Mus musculus: one gene and its partners. The protein of the gene in region 4 interacts with the protein of the main gene of each other region in a pairwise test. Links are inferred from orthologs where the notes say so. Each region holds a gene or a part of one and is shown on either strand. Other genes may lie near its edges. The genes, in order: Zkscan17, Gnmt, Dvl2 and Arr3.

What was found.
Region 1: the proteins of Arr3 (region 4) and Zkscan17 interact in binary tests that used the Homo sapiens proteins (3 or more experiments, as listed by UniProt). The two-hybrid records come from large-scale screens. The link is inferred for Mus musculus from reciprocal best matches to the Homo sapiens genes ARR3 and ZNF496.
Region 2: the proteins of Arr3 (region 4) and Gnmt interact in a two-hybrid assay, tested with the Homo sapiens proteins (2 studies listed by BioGRID and IntAct). The two-hybrid records come from large-scale screens. The link is inferred for Mus musculus from reciprocal best matches to the Homo sapiens genes ARR3 and GNMT.
Region 3: the proteins of Arr3 (region 4) and Dvl2 interact in a two-hybrid assay, tested with the Homo sapiens proteins (2 studies listed by BioGRID and IntAct). The two-hybrid records come from large-scale screens. The link is inferred for Mus musculus from reciprocal best matches to the Homo sapiens genes ARR3 and DVL2.

Annotation. Positions count from the first base shown.
Region 1 is NC_000077.6:59,499,719-59,503,970, forward strand, and holds part of Zkscan17 (zinc finger protein 496), read right to left. Parts: intron 4,093-4,252; 5' UTR 4,056-4,092; coding exon 3,666-4,055; intron 3,383-3,665; coding exon 3,202-3,382; intron 1-3,201. UniProt on the Homo sapiens protein: DNA-binding transcription factor that can both act as an activator and a repressor.
Region 2 is NC_000083.6:46,725,884-46,730,801, reverse strand, and holds the start of Gnmt (glycine N-methyltransferase), read left to right. Parts: upstream 1-1,636; 5' UTR 1,637-1,650; coding exon 1,651-1,856; intron 1,857-3,409; coding exon 3,410-3,537; intron 3,538-4,085; coding exon 4,086-4,196; intron 4,197-4,390; coding exon 4,391-4,533; intron 4,534-4,619; coding exon 4,620-4,741; intron 4,742-4,830; coding exon 4,831-4,918. UniProt on the Homo sapiens protein: Catalyzes the methylation of glycine by using S-adenosylmethionine (AdoMet) to form N-methylglycine (sarcosine) with the concomitant production of S-adenosylhomocysteine (AdoHcy), a reaction regulated by the binding of 5-methyltetrahydrofolate.
Region 3 is NC_000077.6:70,003,106-70,007,357, forward strand, and holds part of Dvl2 (segment polarity protein dishevelled homolog DVL-2), read left to right. Parts: intron 1-1,699; coding exon 1,700-1,769; intron 1,770-2,049; coding exon 2,050-2,195; intron 2,196-2,331; coding exon 2,332-2,441; intron 2,442-2,556; coding exon 2,557-2,692; intron 2,693-2,832; coding exon 2,833-2,923; intron 2,924-3,030; coding exon 3,031-3,100; intron 3,101-3,185; coding exon 3,186-3,325; intron 3,326-3,408; coding exon 3,409-3,485; intron 3,486-4,252.
Region 4 is NC_000086.7:100,607,904-100,612,155, forward strand, and holds part of Arr3 (arrestin-C), read left to right. Parts: intron 1-3,841; coding exon of another isoform or gene 3,842-3,844; coding exon 3,845-4,044; intron 4,045-4,148; coding exon 4,149-4,208; intron 4,209-4,252. UniProt on the Homo sapiens protein: May play a role in an as yet undefined retina-specific signal transduction. Could bind to photoactivated-phosphorylated red/green opsins.

The DNA of each region.
Region 1 (4,252 bases), on a different chromosome or scaffold from region 4:
GAGAGAAGCAGAGAGGGCCAACAGGGAGCCACTCCTGTTGCCCTGCATAACTAGGAAAACTCCTGCTGCTCCCCATAACTTGAAAAATGAGCACTTTGCAAACCACCACAGGGTTCTGGAAGTCTTTTCAGATAGACAATGGGGGGCTATCTCAGGGAAGGCTGGGTTTAGGATGGCCCGATCAATTTGATATTCAACCCCTGAAAATCCAGGAACTTGTCTCAGCATCTAAATATGCTAAGAATACAGTGTTACAGGCCTGTAATCCCAGCCTTTAGAAGAGGCAGGAGAATCGGCCAGCCTTTAGGATGAGACCACCATGTCTCAAAAAATAAATACAGGGCTGGTGAGATGGCTCAATGAGAAAGTGCACTTGCTGCTAACACAATGACTTGAGTTCAATCCCAGGGACCTACAAGTCATCCTCTGACTATCACATTTACAACAAAGCATGTTTGCACCGGTATTAAGTGTTCACATAAAAAAAAAAAAAAAAAAGCCTAAATGAAGGCTAAAAGGCTAAAACTGGCAGTTCAGTGAAGGGAGGGCCCATGTGGACCACTTGTGAACTTGTCACCTGCACAGTTCCAAAAAAGGCTGTTTAAGAAGTTAGTGTGGATGCAGTTAAAGAGAATCCTGTACCTTATTGAGAATGTGAATTAGCACAGCCATTAGGAAAAACAGCAGGTCTTCAAAAAATGAACAAAACTGTTATTACTGAACAATCCCTCTTGTGACTAGAAACCACAAAAGAAATAAAATCTCAAAGGGGCAAGTCACTGTCACGTTCCCTGGGGAATCAGGCACAATAGCTGTCAGAGGATCACAGTGTCTATCGGCAGATGGATAGATAAGAAAATACGGTCTACGAGAGAGAAGATTGGTTAAGAATAGGGGAGGACAGGGACACAGAACACCTGGGTGGGAAGGAGGGCAGTAGGGTAGAGTGGGGGAGAAATGAACACAAGGAAGGAGAAGACGATCAATAGGGACAACATAACCTAACACTGTGTGTGTGTGTGTGTGTGTGTGTTCGCGTGCGCGTGCACGAGTGCACAGTATGTATGTATATTAAAGCCATGTACCATCACATCCAGCTGCATATTGTCTCTTAATTTTTTTCCCAGCACGTGGGAGGTAGAGGTAGGTGGGTCTCAAGTTTGAGGATACATAACGAGAGTTTCATGGCAGTCAGGAAGTCCTATCTCAAAAAGAAAAACAACATGAGAGAGACAGACAGAGAGACAGAGCGAGACAGACGGGGAAAATATGCAAGCAAACATATAGACACTTGAGATGCGACTCAGTCATGAAGGGTGGCATCCTATCTTTCCTGTGCAACATGGAAAGCACATCCTAAGAACCAGAGCGGGCACAGGGTGACACAGCACGGGATGACAAGCACCGCTCAATCTTGCTCATATACTGAATTTATATCTGGAAGAAAAGTTTAATTCTGCTCCCTAGTGCCTGCCACCTATTATGGATGGATCAACGTTTCATTCTACCCAGAGGCTACTTTGGCAGAAGAGCATCACAGTTAGAAGCTAGTAGGTCGTCCTAGTGTTAAATGTCTTCCCAATTGCTGACATCAGGAAATTCTGTATCGAGTACTGCCCAAGGAAGCAACCCAAGTCTGAGTGGACACAACTGGTGTTCTAGAAGATCCCTCACAGCAGGCCTCTCCCTGGGCATCCCTCCCCTAGAAGGGCTCATATGTATATAACGGCTGCTCGCACAGTAGTGTTGACTTGGGGGAATGGTCCTTTCCTTATAGTGCCTGATATATTTGAACTATGGTCCCTGTAAATTCACAAGCTCTAATCCTAGGCACCTCAGAATGTGACTGTATTTGGAGGAAGGCTCTCTAAAGAATCAATTAAGTTAAAATGAGTTCATGAGCATGCGCCCAAACTCAACCTAACTGGTGTCACTAAGGAGGGTTATCGAGAAGACAGGCAGATGGAAGATACAGCAAGGAGTGGTTGTCTGTCTGCTAACTCAAGGAGGCTCAGAAGAACCCAAGGCTGACCAGTCAACCTCACAGCCATGAGAGAAGAAACTAACTGCTGTTGGAGAAGCAATTCAACGTGTAGAACACAGGTGGGCAGTGCCACCGCATCAACACAGATGGTCCTTCCAGCCAGAGGGACAGAAGAGTTCTGATTTGTACAGAAGTCAGTAAACACTGGCAGGCAGGAAAATATACACACACATACACACACACACACACACACACACACACACACACTTTCTTTTTTTTTAAAACAAAAGACTCTAATTGCCAACTATGGTTGAGTGGGCCTGTAACTGCAGCACTCAGGAGGCTGAGGTAGGAGACTCACCAGTTTGAGGGCAGCCTGAGGAAGGGATGGGAAGAGGAAGAAAGGAGAACAAGAAAAAACAGAAGCAGGTTTTGTTTTTAGTCTAGATAAGGTGCTGGAGACGGAACTAGGGGTGTGTGCACGCTAAGCAGATGGTCCACCACAGAGCTGTACCTCCAACCACTGAACAGAGTCAACGCCAGAAGTAACAAAAAAAAAATCTCAAAAATGCACCTTTTCCATTATAATTAAGAGTACTGTTGTGGTGGCAAGGCTTATAAGAGGGATACGGGGTCCCTGGGCCTTGAGGGGCCTTGGGGAAGCAAACCTCAAGGAACCTAGAGATGACCTACTGTAACTCAAAGGAACAATGGCTCAGGCTTTGAGTCTAACACTTCCCCCCTCTTTGCAGCTGTTGGATGGTTTAAACAGATACTCAAACCCTGCCACAGGGCACTGGAGCCATCTGCAGGAGAGGCTACTGCTCTCTCCCAGGGGATTTTAGATGTTCTTATAGCTGCAGAGTAACCTAGCCAAGAAAATGTGGTTTCGAGAGAACAGAAGACAGAGCCATGCTCAGATCAGGCCACAGGTCCTGGTTCTACAGTGACTTTCTCTGTCTCCACTGAGAATACTCTCAAAGAAAGAAGACCATATAATCTCACACCATCTGTTCACACAGGCCTTCCCTCTGGGAGGACTCAATACCAAGAGACTCTGTGTCGGTTGCTCTGCAGAAAGACCCAGAACACAGTAATCGTGCACAGTTCAGAGGAGACGAGAAAACAGAATGTAAAAAGGCCATCACTTTAGTCAACACCCAAGCACACTGGTAGTGTATAATTCAACTCTCAAGCTCACACTACAGACTGCATACCTAAGTCTTCGCTAGGCTGGCCTGGTGATCTGCTTAGAAGCCCAGTGCCCTGTACTAGAGCCCCAGGCGGGGCATCAGGGTAGCTCTGGGACTCTGCTGACATTCGTTCTTGTTCCAGGTCCTGAGGCGCAGCAGGCCCGTCGCCATCGTCAATCACCACCGGGTCTTCACAGTGCTTGAGCTGCAATCCCAGAAAGCAGCAGATCAGGGCCAGGTAGAGAGAGAGGAGTATGATAAAGCCCGGCCCATAGGCTCTGCACAGATCTGTGTAGGCCTTCTCCCTTTCTGGTCTTGCCATCCATGGACTTGATGGGTAACAATCATCTCAACTTAGACTTCATAGAGAGTAATGTTTGCTTTCTTAGGAAAGAAAGCAAACTGGGTCTGGACAGAATTTCTCATCTGGGGTCAGAAGTCTCACAGGGTCAGCAAGGGCTCCCCTCTCCCAGACGCCCGGTGCTCACCCACTGCCAGGGTCTCCCTGGCTCCCGTTCCAGAGCCTCTACTGCAGCCACAGCCTGCTCTCCGCTCTCAGGCTCCTGGGCTCGCACCCAGCTCTGGATCTCCCACGGCAGGATAGCCAAGAACTGCTCCAGCACCAGTAGCTCCAGGATCTGCTCCTTCGTGTGCCTTTCGAGCCTCAGCCAGCCCCGGCACAGCTCCCAGAGGCGCTGCAGGGCCTCCCGAGGGCCTGCGGCCTCCTGGTAGCGGAAGCGGCGGAAGAGGCGTCGAGAGGACTCTGGGCTGGGAGGCTCACCCTGAGGGCTGGGGTTCTCTCCAGGAGGACTCCTCATTTTCCTGGGCTCCTCACTTTCCTTTGGAGCCAAGACTCGTGGGCACAGGGCTGTGGGCATGATGGGATTTGATGGGGGTCAGCGGCAGAAGACGACCCTATTTCCAAACAGAAATCACTGGCTTCAATGCTCTGGTCTCCTGTGGCCACTTCTGAGGGGGTGCTAGGCAGAGCCCATGGGAGACCAGCCCTTTGAGGAATTCCTGGGAAATGTACGAAGTGTTGGTGTGGCTGGTCCTTACACATGGGAACCGAAAG
Region 2 (4,918 bases), on a different chromosome or scaffold from region 4:
CCAAATACAGTTTCTCCTCTCTGCTTTGTCTCCACAGGGACTGATGTAGCCCAGATTTGCCTTGAAGTCTATGTACCCTAGAATATCTTTGAACTCCAGCTTTTCTGTTCTCAGCTGCCAAGTATAGGACTTACAGGCACACACCATCACACTCAGCCTCGAGAATCTTTCTGAGCATAGTGTCAGAGGCCTGTGTGTAGGGACATTGAGTCCCCAAGACTGAGCCTGGTCAGAACCATTTGAGATTGGCGCTGTGCTAACAAAAGTTAAAAAATATGGGCTGGAGAGATAGGTCAGCCATTAAAAGCCCTATCTGCAGCTAGGGTCGTAGCGCACGCTTTTAGCCCTAGCCCTTGGGAGGCAGAGGCAGTCGGATCTCTGAGTTCGAGGCCAGCCTGGTTTACAGAGTGAATTCTAGGACAGCCAGAGAAACCCTTTCTCACAAAAACCAAACCAAACCAAACAAACCACTTGGTCCTCTGTGGGGTTCAGTGTCCTCAGCACCACCGAGTGGCTCCCCACTGTCTACAACTGCAGGTTCAGGGTATCTGAAGCTCTCGATTCTGGGCTCCACGGGCGTCAGACACATACTGACATCTATGAAGTCAAAACAGCCATACCTACTATAAGAAGGTTAAGTCACACAACTGTGGGCCTCCTTCCATCTCCAGGGTTCACCCTGCATTGGGAAGGCGAAGGGAGGGCGGGCGGGCGGGCGGGCGGGATGCTCCCTGTCTTCTCTCTTCTTTCCACGTAACGAGTGTTCACAGAGTTGGAAGTGTGTGGGCAGGCAGGGCAGGCGGGGCAGGCTTCTCGTCGCTCACACGCATCTTCCAGAGCCGACTTTAGCCCGGCTGGGATCTTGTCCTTGGTGGGGTAAAAAGGGTGAGCGGGTAACACGAAACGGACCCTCAGGTTATACAGTGACGCTAGCCCGAGCGGGCGCCATGAGCACCTTCCCTGCCGACCCCCAACTTTCCTCTCTGAAGGTGCTCCCATGGAAAGCAGATGGAAGGCTTGCTATGTCTCCCACATTGTTCACTAATTCATTGAGCACTAATAATCCTCCTGTCTCACCTTACTACACCCAGCCTTTAAGAGATTGCAGAGTATAAAGCCCATGGATTGGAAGGCCCAGGCTACCTTAGGAGGCTCCTGGCTGGTATGGGGGAGGGGAAGAGAGACACGCCTATCTCCAGGTGTACTCTTGTACTTGGATGGGCATCTTTCTCAAAGACTGTTCATAATGTCCCGACACAGTGGCTCTCTTTAGCGGAGTGTTCCCTCCACTAAATGATAAGCAGTGTTGTGTAGACACTGTGCTGGGCTGGGCATGTAATAATTCTGTTTTGGGTGGATTTCAGGCTTCTTCCCCTTCCTCCTTGGGTAGGGGTGGAGTGATCTCTCATTGCTTTACTTTGTGAGTTCCTCCCGGCCACCCTGGCGAGTCCTATCTGACCTGTCTTACTAAGCCAGGTCCAGGATTGCTGTGCTGAGCCATCCTCAAGGCAGAGGCAGCAAGCCTGGCTCTGGGCCCAGGGCCCAGCAGGGGCGTGTCCCTGCTCTCACCTGCCATTGGCCAGGTGGGACTGCCTTGCCAGAGGATTATAAGTGCGGATCGCGTGGCCTGAGAGCCAGGCGCCGGTCAGGATGGTGGACAGCGTGTACCGTACCCGCTCCCTGGGGGTGGCGGCCGAAGGGCTCCCGGACCAGTATGCAGATGGGGAGGCCGCACGTGTGTGGCAGCTGTACATCGGGGACACCCGCAGCCGTACCGCAGAGTACAAGGCGTGGTTGCTTGGGCTGTTGCGCCAGCACGGGTGCCACAGGGTGCTGGACGTAGCCTGTGGCACAGGGTGAGTCCAAACGGGCCGGCCTGCTTAGGCCAGTCTGGGCAGCCTCTGCGGGCTGGAGCCTGGCAGGCAGTACTAGGGGGTCAAGAGCCCTTGCTCATCAGGGTAGTATGGGCATGGGAGAGCATCTGCCGAAACAGTGCGGGAAGGGGCCAGGGTGTGCGCAGAGAAGGATTCATGGGACAGAGCAAAATCCGAGCTTTGGGTCAAGGTGGATCCTTGGCTCCGGCGCTGTTCCTCCTGCGATTGGCCTCTGGCAGTGTGAACAGAACATTTGTAGCACGTTTGCACAGCCAAGTGCTGTGCCAGGAGTTTGGGTACGTGTGTTGCAAGCTGTAACAAAACCCCACGAGGTGAGCAGCGCTTTTCTCCAACCAGTAGTACTAAAGAAAAAGTCATTTCCAAGAGGTAAAAGGCCCCCATTTGGTGGAGAGGATACAGACCAGGATAGTGTCTGGCCCACACTCCCGACTCAGCCCAGAACTCACGGACACCTCTGACTGAGATATTTCCAGGAGCACCAGTATGCCAGGTTCTCAAGTGCACTTTTGTAGAATGCCTGACTATGATTTAAAAACAAAAACAACAACAAAAAGCCATTGAGCCGGTGAGATGGTCCGACTACTAAGAGCCCCTTAGGCTCTGGCAGAAGACAGGCTCTCAGTGCCTAGCATCTGCATCAGGTGGCTCATAATCGCCTGGAATTCCGTTCCAGGGGGAGGTTAGCGCTCCCTTCTGGCCGTGGAGGGCACTGTACTCACATGTACTACACATACAGACATAATTAAAAATAAAAAAAAATGTGTTGATGTCAGGAGTAGTGGCACATATATTTAATCCCAGCACTCAGGGAGTCCTAAATAGGTGGCTCTCTGTGAGTTCCAGGCCCTGCAGGGCTACATTAGGAGACCCTGTTTCTAATAAGAGGCAGCTGGGGAGATGGCACATGTTCTTACAGAGGACCCAAATTTGGTGCCCAGCACCCTCTCTGGGGTCTGCAGACACAAGGTATGCACATGATGCACATATTCAGGCACGACACATGAAATTAAATTTTGAAAAAAAATTTTTTTGAAACAGAGTCTCTCTTTGTAGCCCCAGCTGTCTTGGAACTCACTGTTTAAACCAGGCTAAAAAAAAAACAAAAAACAAAAAAAAAAAAACTCTCAAAAAATTTTTTTGCTACTTGATAAGGAAAATTCTTTTTTTTTTTTTTTTAAGATTTATTTATTATTATATGTAAGTACACTGTAGCTGTCTTCAGACACCAGAAGAGGGAGTCAGATCTTGTTACGGATGGTTGTGAGCCACCATGTGGTTGCTGGGATTTGAACTCTGGACCTTCAGAAGAGCAGTCGGGTGCTCTTACCCACTGAGCCATCTCACCAGCCCCCAGGAAAATTCTTAATGGGTCACTTGAGACCAGTAGAGATGGCCTGGGACAGGAAGCAGAGGAACGGACTCTGGAATGTTATGTCTGGGGAAATGTCACACACATTTGGCCTCCCAGGCTCCTCTGACTGGTCCTCTAGTCCCCCGTTTCTGACCTCATCCAGAGTGGACTCCATCATGCTGGTGGAAGAGGGCTTCAGCGTGATGAGCGTGGACGCCAGCGACAAGATGCTGAAATATGCGCTTAAGGAGCGCTGGAACCGGAGGAAAGAGCCATCCTTTGACAATTGGGGTAAGTCTGTCTGTCCAGGCCCCCCCAGACATGCACCTCCAGGGTCACTCTCTGCCCTGGCTCTCTCTTGCTGTGGAGCTGAATGGTTTTTCCTCAGGGCACGGTACAGTCCCTGTCAACTTCCTAAAAAGGAAGGCTTTGGCATCAGAGTAGGATTCCGGCTGGTAAGAGCAAGTTTGTTGTATTTATGGTGCTAGGCATTGAACTTGGGCATGCCAAGTAGACCCTTGATCACTGGGCTGCATTACCAGCGGTTTTTATGCTTTTCCCGTGTTGCCTGGCTTGGCTAAGCTAGATTTAAGTGATGCTCCTGTCTAACAGAGTCTAGAGGTGTACGTCAAGTCACTGGGCCCTACAGAGCTACTTTTAACTGTCTTATCACATCCTGTCTCTCCTCCCTACAAAAGCCCCTAAGTGGAGGGCTGGCTTTGCCAACTGTGGCTCTCTCCATCCCTAATGAGTCCCCATGTGTCTCTGGGAGGAGGTGGTTGCTTCTGTGCTGTGCTATAATTCTCGACTCCCCCCCCAACCCCTGCCCTGGCCTCCAGTCATTGAAGAAGCCAACTGGTTGACGCTGGACAAAGATGTGCTTTCAGGAGATGGCTTTGATGCTGTCATCTGCCTTGGGAACAGTTTTGCTCACTTGCCAGACTGCAAAGGTAAGCTGGTGGCCTTGGCTGTGGCTCTTGCCTTGAGCTCCCCCACGTCCGAAGATGGCTGGCCTGCTGCCCTGATAAGGCAGACCTGCATTTTGCCTGTCTTCTTTAGTGCTGGCACTTGGGAGGGAGACAGGGGCGGGAGGTGGTGCTGGAGGCCTAAGCAGATGGTGTCTGTGGCCCTGCCGGGAACCCAGGTGACCAGAGCGAGCACCGGCTGGCACTAAAGAACATTGCAAGCATGGTGCGGCCCGGGGGCCTGCTGGTGATCGACCACCGCAACTACGACTATATCCTCAGCACAGGCTGTGCGCCCCCGGGGAAGAACATCTACTATAAGGTTGGGCTGCCCCCCAATGGGAAGCGGGAGCTGGAGGGCCAGAAGCCCCGTGGTGGCTCAGGGAATGACGCAACCCATGCCCTCAGAGTGACCTGACCAAGGACATTACGACGTCAGTACTGACAGTCAACAACAAAGCCCACATGGTAACCCTGGACTACACAGTGCAGGTGCCAGGCACTGGCAGAGATGGCTCTCCTGGCTTCAGGTATGACGTGGTTTGGCAGGAGAGAGGTGGTGGTGGTGGGGAGACCTGAGGCCAGCAGCCCTCATATCTGGCTGGGGGCCCTGTTGCAGTAAGTTCCGGCTCTCTTACTACCCACACTGTTTGGCGTCTTTCACGGAGTTGGTGCGAGCAGCCTTTGGGGGCAGGTGCCAGCACAGC
Region 3 (4,252 bases), on a different chromosome or scaffold from region 4:
AAATGTATTCGTGAGGCCTATCCCCAAGCCCCCAGAGTACGTTAGGCTAGAACTAATCACACAGACAAATCTGTGCACACAGTGTGCCTGCTTGGTGCCTGGAAAGCTTGGCTGAGACAAGTCAGATCCCTTGGGACTCGAACTATGGATAGTTGTGAGCCACTAGGTGGATTCTGGGAACTAAACCTGGGTCTTCTGCGAGAACGAGTGTTCTGAACCACTGAGCCAATTCTTTAGCCCCCATCCCCACCCCGAAGAAGCTCTGATTTGAGGGTGAGGGTGTTATGTGTGGGAAAGAATGGCTCATGGCTCATAGTTTGTCTACATGGATTTGCTTACAAAGGTGAGGGCTTGTGCCACACACCCAGGACATGTGTTGAATCTAATAGGTACTAATGATTTCTTGTGGGTATGAGAAGGAAGGAACAGGTCTAGTCCACTACAGGAACCTGTGGGAGGCTGGGCTTTGGGATTTTTCAGACCGAGCAGATTGCTTAGTGAGGTGAGGTGGCCCGGAATTGGGAAGCCCAGCTTCCTCGCTCCATGGGAGCGTTCCACACGTGGACTGTTATTGTTGCATGTAAGGGTGATTTTTTACCCAGAAAAGCCACACATTTGGGTGGCTCTGCTTGTGAATTAGAGAGAACTCAAAGGCAGCAGGTTCCGTGAGGACCAGAGGCTTTTATGGGACAGATGTGTAGGACAGAGATGGTTAGGCGGCCAGCCAGGCTCTTAAATTAGATATTTGGAGCAGTTGTGGGAACTGTCCCAAAGGGACTTTGGAGTGGTACTTTGAGGTTTGGATCAAATGGGAAGAAGTCTTTGGAGTGGCATTGTGCCTCTAAGGATGAGTTGGGGTAGTGGTAAATGAGAGAGTCTAGAATTTTTATTTATTTATTTGTGTATAAAAGCAAGTTACTTCACTGTGAAAGCAGAGGAGCTGGGCATGGTGATGCATGCTGGCTGAGTGGCATAGCCAAGTTTGGTGACATATGCCTTTAATACCAGGATGGAGAGGCAGAGTTAGGCAGCTCTCTGTGAGTTTGAAGCCAGCCTGGTCGTCGCTACCGCTGCTGAAAAAAAAAAGGGCAGAAGTCTATAGACAGTTGGCTTAGAGGATGCCGCTGTGTTCTGTTCTTAGCACTAGCACCCACTGGTGGCTCCTGACTCCCTGTAACTAGCTCCAGGGGAGATAATATTCTCCTGTCCTCTGCAAATACCCTCATGTGACAGCCATGCACACAGACATGTACATATACATTAGGGGAAAAGCAGACGACGTGTCAGTCAGGGCAGCAAGTCACCATGCTTGGGCAGGATGGAGATGGGGAGAGACTTGGAATGAGATTTGGAATGGGAGTGACTAGTTTAGCTTTACTAATCTCCCCCATCCCCGTGTTTGTCCCACCCCCACCCCCAGATGGGGTTTCTCTGTGGAGCCCTGGCTGTCCTGGTTCTCTCTGTAAACTAGGCTGGCCTCAAACTCAGATCACCTGCCTCTGCTTTCCAGAGTGCTGGCATTAAAGGCATGCACCACCACCGCCCATCTAGGGTGTGTGTGTGTGTGTGGTGTGTGTGTGTGTGCGCGCAAGAGAAACCCTTGCTCACTGAGTGCCTCTTGCCTCGGCCTCCCAAGTGTTAGTTGAAGGTGTACCCCATCACACCTGGCACCTTACTAATCACTCTGCTCTCTCCGCAGGGTGGTGAAGGAAGAGATCTCCGATGACAATGCCCGCCTACCTTGCTTCAATGGAAGGGTTGTCTCCTGGGTAAGGGGACTCATTACTGAGCTGCTTCCAACCTCAGTCTGTCTCTGCAGCCTCCCCCCTGCTCAGTCGCGGGTGGCCTGGCTTCCCTCTTCTCTAATGTGGATACAGTGAGCACTCCTCGGCCTCCTCTTCCTATAGCCTCCCGTACTGGATTGTTTTTTCTGGCCTCTTCACCCAGGTCTCCAGGACCCTGTGTCCTTCTTTTCTGGTCCTTTTCCTTAGTTTCTTCTCGTACACCGCTCCCCAGCAGAACCATGTTTTCTTACGTGCTCTCTTCTAGCTTGTGTCGTCAGATACCCCACAGCCTGAGGTGGCTCCCCCAGCCCATGAGTCTCGGACAGAACTGGTTCCTCCGCCTCCACCCTTACCCCCTTTGCCACCAGAAAGGACCAGTGGAATTGGGGACTCAAGGCCTCCATCCTTCCAGTGAGTCCTTTATATTCTTGAGTCCAGGGGATGGGAGCGAAGAGGGAATTCAGTCTAGACCTCTTGAGAGAGGGGGACTGAGGTTCCGGTGCTCTGTCCGACTGACTTTGGTTGGAAACTCTCTCTACCTGTGTAGCCCTAATGTATCCAGCAGCCATGAAAATCTAGAGCCTGAGACAGAGACCGAATCTGTCGTATCACTGAGGCGAGACCGACCTAGGAGGAGAGACAGCAGTGAACATGGCGGTGAGGGGATGGACCCTGGAGGCAGGGTAGACTGAGCTGGGCAGACAGGCAAGCCTTAGCATGCTGGGTATGAAGAAGGGGAGGCCTGGCTCCTGAGTCTCTTGTTTATACACAGCTGGTGGCCACAGGCCTGGTGGCCCCTCGAGGCTGGAGCGCCACCTGGCTGGCTACGAGAGCTCTTCCACCCTCATGACCAGTGAGCTGGAGAGTACCAGCCTAGGAGACTCGGATGAGGATGACACCATGAGTAGGTATGGCTGCACACTTCCCTCCCTGTTCCCTCCCTCCTCCCCCCTCCTCCCCTCCCCCTCCCCCCCAGCCAGTCTTCTTGTTTCATGTGGCTCCCTGACCACTTCCACCTCCAAATGCTATGCTTCTCAATTGCTATCAGGTTCAGCAGCTCCACTGAGCAGAGCAGTGCCTCCCGCCTCCTCAAGCGCCACCGAAGGCGAAGGAAGCAGCGGCCGCCACGCATGGAGAGGGTGAGGGTTCTTTTGGGATGAAGTGGGCTCTGGTTGAAACACAAGCTTGTGGCTTCTCTCTCTGTTGACGGGGAGCAGTTCACACCTTTCATGTCTCCCCGCTGTAGACCTCATCCTTCAGCAGTGTCACCGATTCCACAATGTCTCTCAACATCATCACGGTCACGCTCAACATGGGTATGGAGGGTCCTGACGGGGAGAAGGGAAGGAGAGAGAGGGGCTTGGGGTTTCTGGGGCTCAGTCATATGGCCCCCCTCCACAGAGAAGTACAACTTCCTGGGCATCTCCATTGTGGGCCAAAGTAACGAGCGTGGTGATGGGGGCATCTACATCGGCTCCATCATGAAAGGGGGCGCGGTGGCTGCGGACGGGCGGATCGAGCCTGGAGACATGCTTTTGCAGGTGCGCTGACGGCCTGGCTGCTGGCTGGGGCGGATGCTCTGCCCCTCCCACACTGCCCATGACCCACCACCCCTTCCCTTCAGGTAAATGATATGAACTTTGAGAACATGAGCAACGACGATGCTGTACGAGTGCTGAGAGACATCGTGCACAAGCCAGGGTGAGTGCGGCTGGCCCCAGGCCTCTTGGGCTTAAGCCTGTTTACCTTTGTTTTGCAATTTTTATAAAGACGTGAGGCCAGGCATGGTGGTGCATGCCTTTAAACATGTTATTTGAGGCACAGTTGGGCTGAGTGTGAGGCAGCCTGGTCTGCAGAGTGAGTTTCAGTCCATCCGGGTCTACATAGCGAGAAAACAAAAACCAAACAAAACAAGGGCTGTAGAGATGGCTCAGCAGTTAAGAACACTGTTTGCTCTTCCAGAGATCCTGAGTTCAATTCCCAGCAGCCACATGGTGGCTCACAACCATTTGTAATGAGATCTGATGCCCTCTTCTGGTGTGTCTGAAGAGACTGACAGTGTACTCACGTACATAAAAAAAAACAAATACGTCTTTCAAAAGAGAACAAAACCCACAAATTGCAAATCTCCCTGGCATGTCACTCCACACTAGAGCATGAAGCAGATGTGGGTGAGCACCTGAGAAGAGGCCACCCACTGTGTGCTCCTTGCCACTCCCTCTCCTCACTGATGATAATTACCGTTTGGCTTCTTTGGTCAAGAAAACCTTTAATGGTTTTTCATGCATGAGTCCTGGAACAAGATGGTTTGGTGTTACCTGGGTGAGGCTTGCTGTGAGTGAAGGGAACATTCACTCTGCTCTCCATTGTTCCCCGCAGCAGTGTTTTGAACTTAGCCATGTTGTGAGTCACACGCACTGTGGAGGCCTTCACCCTCACTCTCTCTAGCCCAGCAACGTGAGCTCTTT
Region 4 (4,252 bases):
TTTCTGCAGCCGAAGTGTCCCTTGGGCTTCCATTTTAAAAGCTTTGATATATGTCATTCCACAAGGTTTTTTTTTTCTTCATCTGTTTGTTTTGTGTGTGTGTGTGTGTGTGCCAAGTATGTGCGTGCATGCGTGTATGTGGGGGAGAGAGATAAGGAAGGGAGAGACAGAGAGAGACAGACACAGAGAGAGAGAGAGACAGAGAAGGAGAGGGCCTAAACGTGTATTCTACAAAAACCAAGGAAATAACAAGCACAGGCAATACCAGCAGGAGACAGCACAGCCCTCCGGCAGCCGAACTCTAGTTCAAGATTGCACTGAACTACTTCCCACTGAATTTTCCCCTTTTAATTCTCACTATGGATTAACCCCACTGTGATCCAACTGGACTGAAAATTGTGTTCAACTGGAGAAAAGATTCAGAACCAGTTGGTGACTACTCGTCCAGAAATAGCCTTTAGATACTGGGAATGAAAGAGCTTTCCTTTCTGAGATTAAGCACCACGGATAAGCACTCTGGACAATTTCAAATGTCAGAGAAACTTTTCAGAATAGGCACAAATTAGCCAACTTATTTATAAGTAACAAATACTCTGTTTCTAAAATCTAAGTGGTTTTATTCCCGCACTTCTAAAATTTCCCAGAATAACCTATGAAAAGAAATATTCACTTTTTAAAGACTGCATGTTGCTTGGCATGATGACTAACATCTACGACAACACCCAGGAGGCTGAGGAAGCAAGTCCAAGGCCAGGCTGGCATGCAAAGTGACTTTGAGGCCTGTGAAAACTATATAGGAAGAACTTATCTCTCAAAAATTACAGGCTTACTCAGAAATTAGATATATTTGAGTTTTTTATGTCTCTTTGGTAGAGTTTTGACTTATTATTCATTTCAATCTTATATATTTCTGACATTTCCTCCCACTTGTATGCTCTGTTACTTTGTGAACATCATCTTGCTTTGACCGTATTTTTCAAGTCCTTCTCCATCACAGGTGTATGTTTTAATGTAAACCATCCTTTTCTATGCACTGAGTGGTAAAGTCAAGTGAGGCGAAAGATGTGGGGTATGGTACACACACACACACACACACACTACTGTTTAATAGCACTCTATCTGGCCTCTCTGTGTGCTATTCTTTGCAACTGCAAAATTTTACTGTATAAACAAACAGTAGTCACAAAAGTTTTTTTAAATGTTTAATTTCGGAAAAGAAATGAGAAAACAGTTATAAGTACCTGAGATTGCCTTGTGTTTAGTTGTAGAAACAAAGCAATTTAGAAGGCATCAGAGCAGATAACATGGCACTTATCTCTGCAAAAATGGTGCTGTGGTAGAGCTTTGAATTTTTCTTTTTGATTATATTTTTGATGCTCATATAAATGTGTATGTAATTTATATCATTAAGACAAAATGGACACATTTAGAGTAGATGTTGCCTTTTAGAGGAAAATAAAAGCAACCTGCCAGGCCTGGTAATGCAGGCCTGTAATCCCAGCTGCCTGGGCAAGAGGGGCTCAGGCAGGAGGATCACAAAAAGTTCAAGAGTAGGCTGGGCAAATTTAGAGAGATCTCTGAGGCCTCAGAATAAGAAAGTACAAAGAAAGATAAGCGGCTACCTAGTGTGCATGAGATTCTGTGAGTTTGAGACCAGTCTGGTCTACTTAGTGAATTCCAGGCCAGCTAGAACTTCACAGAGAGACCTGTCTCAAAAATAAATATACAAAAAATAAAATCAAATACTACAAAAATCATAGGCTTAATCCCTATAATCAACACACAGCCAGCAAAAGTAGCAGTCAGAGGTAGCCAGATCTCTGTGAGTTCAAGGCCATCACAGATGAAGGGATTATAATTTAATTACTCCTAACCCCATTTCAGCTTTCATCTACTTACTTTTTTGTGCAAAAACCCCTATTTTATAATTTTATAATCCCATAAATACCTTATAATTTTCTTTTAAGTCTATGTCAACATATATGAATCCATAATCTATGAAGCTGCGTTTAAAAATCCACTCGTTGGACATTTCCTTTGTTTTCAACATGTTTTCGACATTTCAACATTTGTTTTAACATATTTTGCTGTTATAAACAACTCTGCATCCCCCAACCCGTTGTGTGTATCCAATTCGCTCTTTAGGCTGAATTCCCAGAGAGCTAGTGTTTCACAGAAAGTTTGTAACGTGAATGTCTGGCCAATTCTGCCTCTGCCTCTGCCTCGCATCTCACCTTCTGAATGCAGTGATTATAGATGCAAACTACCACTTCCAGTGTTTTGTGGGTTCCGGGGATTGAAATAAAGTCAACCAGCTTATGGAACAAGTACTTTTACCCACTGAGCTATCTTGCTGGTATCTGACCCTAATTCTTGTTAACTCTTTTAAACTATTAAATATTTCAGGCATAAAAAAATATATCTACCACCTAGCTTTGAAAAGAAGTATAGACCCAAAGCTTCCTCTGCCCTTCTTTTTGAGTCTCTCTCCCTATCCTTGTCTTTTCTCCTACCCAGGCAACCACTATCCTACATTTAGTGTTTATTTGGTCCATGATGCTTGTATACTTATATTTAACATTCTGTGTCTACAACCAATTTTTACATTGTTATATACAGTTTTAATCTGCATATAAAATTAACAGTGCACATTTAATTCTGGTGCTAGAATTTTTTTTTTGAAATTTAATCATTTAATTATTCATATACTTCTTAGTTGACTAATGCTGCTGTACCAAAATACCCAAAACTAGATAATATATTAGGAAAAGAAATTTACTTTCTCACTATTCAGTAGCCAGGCAAATCCAAGTTAAGGTGAGTAGCATGTTCAATTTTCTGTAAAGGCTGCTCTCTGCATGCAAAATTGGGCCTTATTGCTGGGCCCTCCAGAGGGGAGGAATGTTGTGTACATAGGTGACAGAAGGTGAACTGGAAAAAAAAAAGATGGATGCTACACAAGGCTTCTCTAATAAAGGTCTAAACACCATTCATAAATGAAGATGAGAAAAGGTTCCATTTGTGGTGATATGACAGTAGCTCCGACCAGTCGTGCATTTGAACTCCAACTGAGCCACATCAGCATGAACACTCAATGTCTGGCTTCAATATTTTTGACAGTATGATCTGTGTGAAATGTCATCCCACTGTGGCTTTCATGTGGATGTATCTGATTACTACTGAGACTACACAAATCTTTGGCCATTCCACATGTGCTTCTAAGAATCCACCTGCGTTCTTGGCACACTTTTAGATTGGTGTGTGTGTGTGTGTGTGTGTGTGTGTGTGTGTGTGTTACCAATTGGTAACAGTTATTTTGTTCATGTGTGTACAGGTATGTGTGGAGGCCGGAGGTCAATCTTGGGTGTTTTTTGAGAGTGGATCTCTCCCCCTCTCTCTCTGTTCTGGGGCCCACTGATCAGGCCAGACTAGGTGGTCAGAGAGCCTCAGGAATCTATCTACCCGTCTCCACCTAGCAGCGCTGGGATTGAAGCATGTACCATTGCTCCCCACCTTTTCCCATGGGACCAAATCCAAGTCCTTATACTTTGGCAGCAAATTCTTTGCCAACTGAACTATCTCCTCGGCCTTTCAACATTCCAAATGCTAAACAGTTATATGTGTTTCAAACACTTGAACTCTGAATTTCCTTTTATCTTTGTGAACCTTGTAACACAGAGAACTTTAAAATACTATTGCAATCAAATGTAACCAAATATTTCTTTGTGACTATACTTTTGGGATTATACTAGCTTGCCTCTGTGGGTCTTCCTTTCCCCCCATTTAGGATTTCCTTTGTCACAAGTTTGACAAGTCACTCACTCTCTTCCTCTTTTGCCAGCAGTGTTTGTCAGGTTGACCTGTGCTTTTCGCTATGGCCGTGATGACTTGGATGTGATTGGTCTGACATTTCGCAAAGATCTCTATGTACAAACCAAGCAAGTGGCTCCAGCTGAACCCACCAGCATCCAGGGCCCCCTCACAGCCTTACAGGAGCGGCTTCTGCACAAGCTCGGGGTCAATGCCTATCCTTTTACACTTCAGGTACTGACCTCAAGTCTTGGGCAAAGTTTCCAGGGAAGATTAAGAGATAAAAGGAGAACAGAGAGAGTTGTCCCTATTTTTCTGAGCTCCTTCTGATTTCCTAGATGGTTGCTAACCTGCCCTGTTCAGTAACACTGCAGCCTGGGCCTGAAGATTCAGGAAAGGTAAGGAAGACCATTAGCTAATGACCTTTCCACCAATGACCTAG